2 linked regions of the Anolis sagrei genome follow. The main gene of each other region encodes a partner of the protein of the gene in region 2 in a complex. Links are inferred from orthologs where the notes say so. Each region holds a gene or a part of one and is shown on either strand. Other genes may lie near its edges.

Region 1 (3,752 bases), on a different chromosome or scaffold from region 2:
GGGGGTCCTAAAAAAAGTAACTTTTATGGGATAGGAGTCCTAAAAAGTAACTTCCAAGGGATGGAGGTCTAAACAAAGTAACTTTAATGGATGGGTGGTCATAAAAAGTAACTTCCATGGGACAGGAGACCTAAAAAGTAACTTCCAAGGGCTGGAGATCGAAAAAAGTAACTTTCGAGGGATGGAAGGGGGTCCTAAAAAGTAACTTCCATTGGATAGGAGTCCTAAAAATTAATATCCAAGGACTGGAGGGTCTGAAAAAAGGAGTTTCCAAGAGAAGGGGTTCCTAAAAAGTAACTTCCAAGGGCTGGAGATCTTTAAAAAGTAATTTTCATTAGATGGGAGGTCCTAAAAAGCAACTTCCAAGGGATGGAGGTGTAAAAAAGTAACTTTTATGGGATGGGAGTCCTAAAAAGTAATTTCCAAGTGCTGGAGGTCTAAGCAAAGTAACTTTCATGGGATGGGAGTCCTGAAAAGTAACTTCCAAGGGATGGAGGTCTAAAAAAGTAACTTTCATGGGATGGAAGGAGGTCCTAAAAAGCAACTTCCATGGGATAGGAGTCCTAAAAAGTAACTTCCAAGGGCTGGAGGTCTAAAAAAAAGGAACTTTCATGGAATGGGGGGATCCTAAAAAGTAACTTCCATGGAATAGGAGTCCTAAAAAGTAACTTCCAAGGGCTGGATGTCTAAAAAAAGTAACTTCCATGGGCCGGAGGTCTAAAGGAAGTAACTTTCATGGGATGGGGGGACGGGGCCCTAAAAATAACTTTCATGGGATGGGAGTCCTGAAAAGTAACTTCAAAGGGCTGGAGGTCTAAAAAAAATGAACTTCCATGGAAAGGGGGGATCCTAAAATGTAACTTCCAAGGGAATGGGGGGGGGGTCCTAAAAAGTAACTTCCAATGGAATGGGGGGGTCCTAAAAAGTAAGTTCCAATGGAATGGGGGGTCCTAAAAAGTAACTTCCAAGGGAATGGGGGGGTCCTAAAAAGTAACTTCCAAGGGAATGGGGGGATCCTAAAAAGTAACTTCCAATGGAATGGGGGTCCTAAAAAGTAACTTCCAAGGGAATGGGGGGGTCCTAAAAAGTAACTTCCAAGGGAATGGGGGGGTCCTAAAAAGTAACTTCCAATGGAATGGGGGGGGTCCTAAAAAGTAAGTTCCAATGGAATGGGGGGTCCTAAAAAGTAACTTCCAATGGAATGGGGGTCCTAAAATGTAACTTCCAAGGGAATGGGGGGGGGTCCTAAAAAGTAACTTCCAAGGGAATGGGGGGTCCTAAAAAGTAACTTCCAAGGGAATGGGGGTGGTCCTAAAAAGTAACTTCCAAGGGAATGGGGGGGTCCTAAAAAGTAACTTCCAAGAGAATGGGGGGTCCTAAAAAGTAATTCCCAAGGGAATGGGGGGATCCTAAAAAGTAACTTCCAAGGGAATGGGTGGTCCTAAAAAGTAACTTCCAAGGGAATGGGGGTACAAAAAAGTAACTTCCAAGGGAATGGGGGGGGTCCTAAAAAGTAACTTCCAAGGGCTGGAGGTCTGAAAAAAGTAACTTCCAAAGGAATGGGGGGGGTCCTAAAAAGTAACTTCCAAGGGCTGGAGGTCTGAAAAAAGTAACTTCTAAGGGAGGCCTGGGCCAAGAGGTGTCTACAGACAACAGGCTCCTTGGCTTGGAAATGGAACGCGAGCGCCTCCTCCTGGCCAGAGTTGAGCACTGCCTTCAGCACGCCGGAAATGAAAGGGGAAGCCTTTACCTTTGTGTATTTGTCATATCATCGCTATTCCGCTGTATTCAAGCCTTGACTGGCTTTTTCTAATATTTTCACAAACCCCGATGACATCTAGACACTTGATAATCCAAGAATATACACAGAAAGGCAAACTTTCAATGCCTTGGAGACAGTGGAATAACAATAACATGTAAATACACAAAGGTAGAGGCTTCCCCTTTCATTTCCGGCTTATTATTGGAATAGAATGAGTATTATTGGAATCGGTAGTTCACCCCATTGAATTCCTACTGAAACACACAAATTCGGAGGGTCACCTGAGGTCCCTTCGTCCATTTCGGCTCCTTCATGTGTTCTTTCAGCATCAGCGGTTGAGCCGGAACCCGGCTTCTTTGTGAACAGGGCCGGGTTCTAGAACCGGGGTTCTAGAACCTTGAGAATTTCCTTCCCTTCTTCGCATGAGAGGTGTTTTGGACTTCCAACTCCCAGAATGACTACTACAACTAATAATCATCATCATAATTAATAATCATAATAATAATTAATAATAATAATTACTACTACTACTACAACTAAGAGGTGTTTTGGACTTCCAACTCCCAGAATTACTACTACTAATAATAATCATCATAATTAATAATAATAAATAATAATAATAATAATTACTACTACTACTACAACTAAGAGGTGTTTTGGACTTCCAACTCCCAGAATTACTACTACTACTAATAATAATAATAATAATTAATAATAATAATTACTACTACTACTACAACTAAGAGGTGTTTTGGACTTCCAACTCCCAGAATTACTACTACTAATAATAATAATAATAATAATTAATAATAATAATTACTACTACTACTACAACTAAGAGGTGTTTTGGACTTCCAACTCCCAGAATTACTACTACTAATCATCATCATCATCATAATTAATAATAATAATTAATAATAATAATTACTACTACTACTACAACTAAGAGGTGTTTTGGACTTCCAACTCCCAGAATTACTACTACAACTAATAATAATAATCATAATTAATAATAATAATAATAATAATAATTACTACTACTACTACTGATGCAGAGCATCTCCCCCCCCCCCCCCCCAAGTATTTGAAGTTCGCCAAGGGCCGGAAAATGGATTCTGCTGCTTCCTGACCCAGCGCACATAACTGGGTTCCTGTTTCCTCTCTGTGAATTCTCTGGCTTGTGCACTGGACCCTGGCCCCTGATCAGGGAAATGTAGTTCTCCAAAGGACATTGCCCCACTCTCCACCATTTGCGGACTCTTTGCGAACCTTTCTGCCCTCACTGATTGACTTAATGCCCTAGCATCACGGACTTCCTCCCTGAACTCCAAAAGCCAAGCCGCTTCTGAAGTATGGCCCCCGCCTGTGGGTGCATGCCCTTGTTGCAAAGGATCATACCTCAGGAACTCTGCTGATTGCCTTTATTAATTGCTGTGGGTTTTCTAATAAACTTCGCTGGGATGGGGATCTTTCCTATGAAATCTATGAGTTATGAAAGACTGTGAAGAATATATATATGAAGTATATGATATGTAATGAGGTGAAATGAAATAAGATGTACCCTCACCCCTCTCCTTGCCTTCCCCCTCTTGAACTTTACCCTATAAAAGAATATGTGACCTGGGGATTACAGTTAAGGAAATCCAATTTCCTTGGAAGAAACTCCATCCATACTGACAATGCATGGACAAATGCTGGCAAATCTATGGCTTTGTTTTTCAGAGTCAGACAAACAAGGGCCAGAGATTTTGTCAGCCAAAAGCCCGGAAAAACAGACTGATTAAATCAATCATGGTGCTTGTGTATGCTCCCTTGTGTCAAAGGATTTCCTTTGCCTACAGGGTTGAGATCCAGACACCACCCATAGCCACCCTTTTTGCCTATACACATCTTTTATCAGGACCCAGGAAATCCCTTGTTCTCCCCATCCGCCTCCCTGCCGGGAAGAGACAAAAGGTGTTCCATCAGCTGGCAGACGCCTCCCAGGCAT
Region 2 (3,752 bases):
AGTAATACAGTTTGACAAAGCTTAAATTGCCATGTTCAAGTCGTCCTTGGTCAAAGAGGTCCTTGGTCATGTGCTTCCTGGTCATGTGCTCCCTGTTCAAATGGTTCCTGTTCATGTGGTCCCTGGTCAAGTGGTCTCTGGTGAAGGGGTCCCTGGTCAATGCAGTCCCTGGTAAAGGGGTCCCTGGTCAAAGAGGTCCCTGTTCAAGTGCTCCCTGGTCAAAGTGGTTGGTCAAAGTGGTCCCTGGTGAAGAGGTCCCTGGTCAATGCATCTCTGGTCAAAGAGGTCCCTGGTCAAGTGGTCTCTGGTCAAAGCGGTCCTTGGTCAAAGCGGTCATTGGTCAAAGCAGTCCCTGGTCAATGCGGTCCCTGGTCAAAGAGGTCGTTGGTCAAAGCGGTCCCTGGTCAATGCAGCCCCTGTTCATGAGGTCCGTGGTCAAAGCGGTCCCTGGCCAAAGCAGTCCCTGGTCAATGTTGTCCCTGCTTAAAAAAGGTTGGGAACTACTGCAGTAAATAAATAATTCAGCTGAAATGCACAAGCCTATTGGAATCTACCTGTACATGGCAGCCGGTAGGCTGATGGGAATTGTGGGAGTGGAAGTCCAAAACACCTGGAAGGGCCCAAGTTTGCCCAGGCCTGGTACAGATCCTTCCTGATCCTGAACTTCCTATCCCTCTTGATGCATGTATGTATATAAGGCCTGGGCAAACTTGGGCCCTCCAGGTGTTTTGGACTTCAACTCCCACAATTCCTAGCAGCCTACCGGCTGCTAGGAATTGTGGGAGTTGAAGTCCAAAACACCTAGGGGCCCAAGTTTGCCCAGGCCTGATGTGTGTATATATACACACACCCCTTTGTTTAGTATTTAACAACATGTCCAATGCATCTAGGTATGAATATAAAAATAAATAACCCAGACTGAAGTGAAGTGGGCCTGCTGCTCCCTCTCCCCAGTTGGCTCTTTCTCCTCCTCCTCCTCCTGTGATATGACTAAGCCTCCTCCGCAGAGGAGCGCTGCTCTGCCGCTGCGGGCGATGGGCGGAGAGGGAGGCTCCGCGTCCGCCGGCGGGACAGGTCTGAGCAGAGCCCTGCGGCGCCCTTCCTGGGCGGGAGGAGAGGGAGCCTCCCTCCGGGAGTAGCGGAGAAGAGAGGAGAGCCAGGAGAAGCGCGGAGGAGGCTGGAGTCCATGTCGGGCCCGCGCAGCGCCTTGCAGGCCTGGTGCCGCCGCCAGTGCGAGGGCTACCCCGGCGTCGAGGTCCGGGACCTCAGCAGCTCCTTCAGAGACGGTCTCGCCTTCTGCGCCATCCTCCACCGGCACCGGCCCGACTTGCTGTGAGTTCACCCGTTCCGCCACTAGGCCCCAACAGAAGCCCCGGGCTCGCTTAGATGGAACGGCCGGCGCTGGGGGCAACCTCTTCGGCAAGCAGTTGCTCCTCTGAGAGGGCTGAGGGAGAAGGAAGGGGACCCTATTCGTGAGGCAAAGGGGGAAAGGTGCAGCCCTACATAGGTGTCTTAGACTCCAGGTCCCAGAATCCTCCATCGTTGGACGGAGCAGCCGAGGCTTCTGGGAGTTGAAGTCCTTTGGAGTTTGGGACACACTCCCAAGAGGACTTAAGAAGAGAGAAACGAGATATTCCTATTTATTAAGCAGCCCTAAAGTGTGATATTGTGTTGAAGCGTTGATCCTTCAGGTGTTTTGGACTTCAGCTCCCAGAATCCCTAATATTTCTGCCAGGACCCAAGGTGTATCCAGACATGGACAAACTTCAGCCCTCCAGGTGTTTTGGACTACAACTCCCACAATTCCTAACAGCCAGTAGTCCAAAACACCTGAAGTGTATCTATGCCTGGGCAAACTTGGACCTGCCAGGTGTTTTGGACTTCAACTCCCAGAATTCTTAACAGCCAGTAGTCCAAAACACCTGGAGGGTATCTAGGGTGTATCCAGGCATAGGCAAACTTCAGTTCTCCCAAGTGTTCTGGACTTTAACTCCCACAATTCCTAACAGCCAGTAGTTCAAAACACCTGGAGTATATCCAAGGTGTATCTAGGCCTGGGAAAACTTGGGTCCTCCAAGTGTTTTGGACTTTAACTCCCACAATTCCCAATAACCGGTAGTCCAGAACACCTCAAGTGTATTCAGGCCTGGGCAAACTTCGGCCCGCCAAGTGTTTTGGATTTCAACTCCCACAATTCCTAACAGTCGGTAGACCAAAACACCTGAAGTGTATCTAGGGTGTATTCTGGTCTGGGCAAACTTGGGCCCTCCAGGTGTTTTGGACTTCCACCCCTACAATTCCTAATAACCGGTAGTCCAAAACACCTCAAGTGTATCCGGGCCTGGGCAAACTTGGACCCTCCAGGTATTTTGGACTTCAACTCCCATAATTCCTAACAGCCAGTAGTCCAAAACACCAGGAGTATATTCAGGGTGTATCCTATCTAGGCATGGGCAAACTTGGGTCCTCCAAGTGTTTTGGACTTCAGCTCCCATAATCCCGAACAGCCAGTAGTCCAAAACACCTGGAGGGTATCTAGGGTGTATCAAGGCCTGGGCAAACTTGGGCCATCCAGGTATTTTGGACTTCAACTCCCACAATTCCTAATAGCCGGTAGTCCAGAACACCTGGAGTATATCCAGGGTGTATCCAGGCCTGGGCAAACTTGGGTCCTCCAAGTGTTTTGGACTTTAACTCCCACAATTCCTAATAACCGGTAGTCCACAACACCTCAAGTGTATCCAGGGTTGGGCAAACTTCAGCCCGCCAAGTGTTTTGGATTTCAACTCCCACAATTCCTAACAGTCGGTAGACCAAAACACCTGAAGTGTATCCAGGGTGTATCCTGGCCTGGGCAAACTTGGGCCCTCCAGGTGTTTTGGACTTCAACCCCTACAATTCCTAACAGCCTGCTCTATGCTGTAGAATTAATGCAGTTCGGCATCACTTTAACTGCCATGGCTGAATGCAGTAGCACATTTTGCCAGACAAGACTTTGTAAATCTACCACCCACAGGATTCCATAGCTTTGAGCCATAGCGTGTAAAGTGACATCAAACTGCATTCATTCCACAGTGTAGAGATGTAGCCCTAGCCACACCTTTCTACTCCACAGCCATTAATTAGCAATAAGGAGGACTCTAGATTCCTTAAAAGATTGCAGCAAAATGTGGAGGGACACTGAAAGAGGTTTTGTATGATAAGCCAGTTTCTATTTCACAGTTCTCCCACAGTGTAATTAGAGGTTCTGCAAATAGAACTGATTTAAGAAAGGACAATGTTTTGCCTCCAGTCCAAACCTTTTCTTTTCTTGGAAATTGTGGAGAGTTTCAGTAATAGGTGTTGTTGTTTTTGTTGTTGTTGTGTGCTTTAATATCCTTTCCAATTTACATTGACCCTAAAGCAGATCTCCTACAGGGCTTTCTTGGAAACATTGGCTCAGGCCCCTTCTATACTGCCATATAAAATTCAGATGATCTGCTTTGAACTGGATTATAAAGCAGTGTAGACTCATTTAATCCAGTTCAAAGCAGATAATGTGGACCATCTGTTTTGATGATCTGGATTATATGGCAGTGTAGAAGGGGCCTCAGAGAGGGCTTGGCCTTGTCTTCCTCTTAGGTTGAGAGAGTGTGACTTGCTTATGGTCACTGAATGGGTTTCCATGACTGAGCAGGGATTCGAACCCTGATTCCAATCCTAGTCCAAAACTCAAACCACTGCACGATGCTGGCTCTCAGACCACTTACTAA

The links. Proteins that work in one complex are often made in the same cells at the same time.
Region 1: the proteins of MICALL1 (region 2) and EHD1 are in contact, whole or in part, in an NMR structure (PDB 2KSP), measured with the Homo sapiens proteins. The link is inferred for Anolis sagrei from reciprocal best matches to the Homo sapiens genes MICALL1 and EHD1. Residues at the interface, in NP_203744.1 of Homo sapiens: Lys422, Tyr424, Asn425, Pro426, Phe427, Glu428, Glu429; in NP_001269373.1 of Homo sapiens: Gly464, Ala467, Lys468, Met471, Asn478, Leu481, Gly482, Trp485, Lys486, Lys492, Asp493, Gly494.

Annotation. Positions count from the first base shown.
Region 1 is NC_090032.1:20,366,858-20,370,609, reverse strand, and holds the start of EHD1 (EH domain-containing protein 1), read right to left. Parts: upstream 2,249-3,752; 5' UTR 2,063-2,248; coding exon 2,044-2,062; intron 1-2,043. UniProt on the Homo sapiens protein: ATP- and membrane-binding protein that controls membrane reorganization/tubulation upon ATP hydrolysis. In vitro causes vesiculation of endocytic membranes. Acts in early endocytic membrane fusion and membrane trafficking of recycling endosomes.
Region 2 is NC_090025.1:164,612,404-164,616,155, reverse strand, and holds the start of MICALL1 (MICAL-like protein 1), read left to right. Parts: upstream 1-976; 5' UTR 977-1,186; coding exon 1,187-1,332; intron 1,333-3,752. UniProt on the Homo sapiens protein: Lipid-binding protein with higher affinity for phosphatidic acid, a lipid enriched in recycling endosome membranes. On endosome membranes, acts as a downstream effector of Rab proteins recruiting cytosolic proteins to regulate membrane tubulation.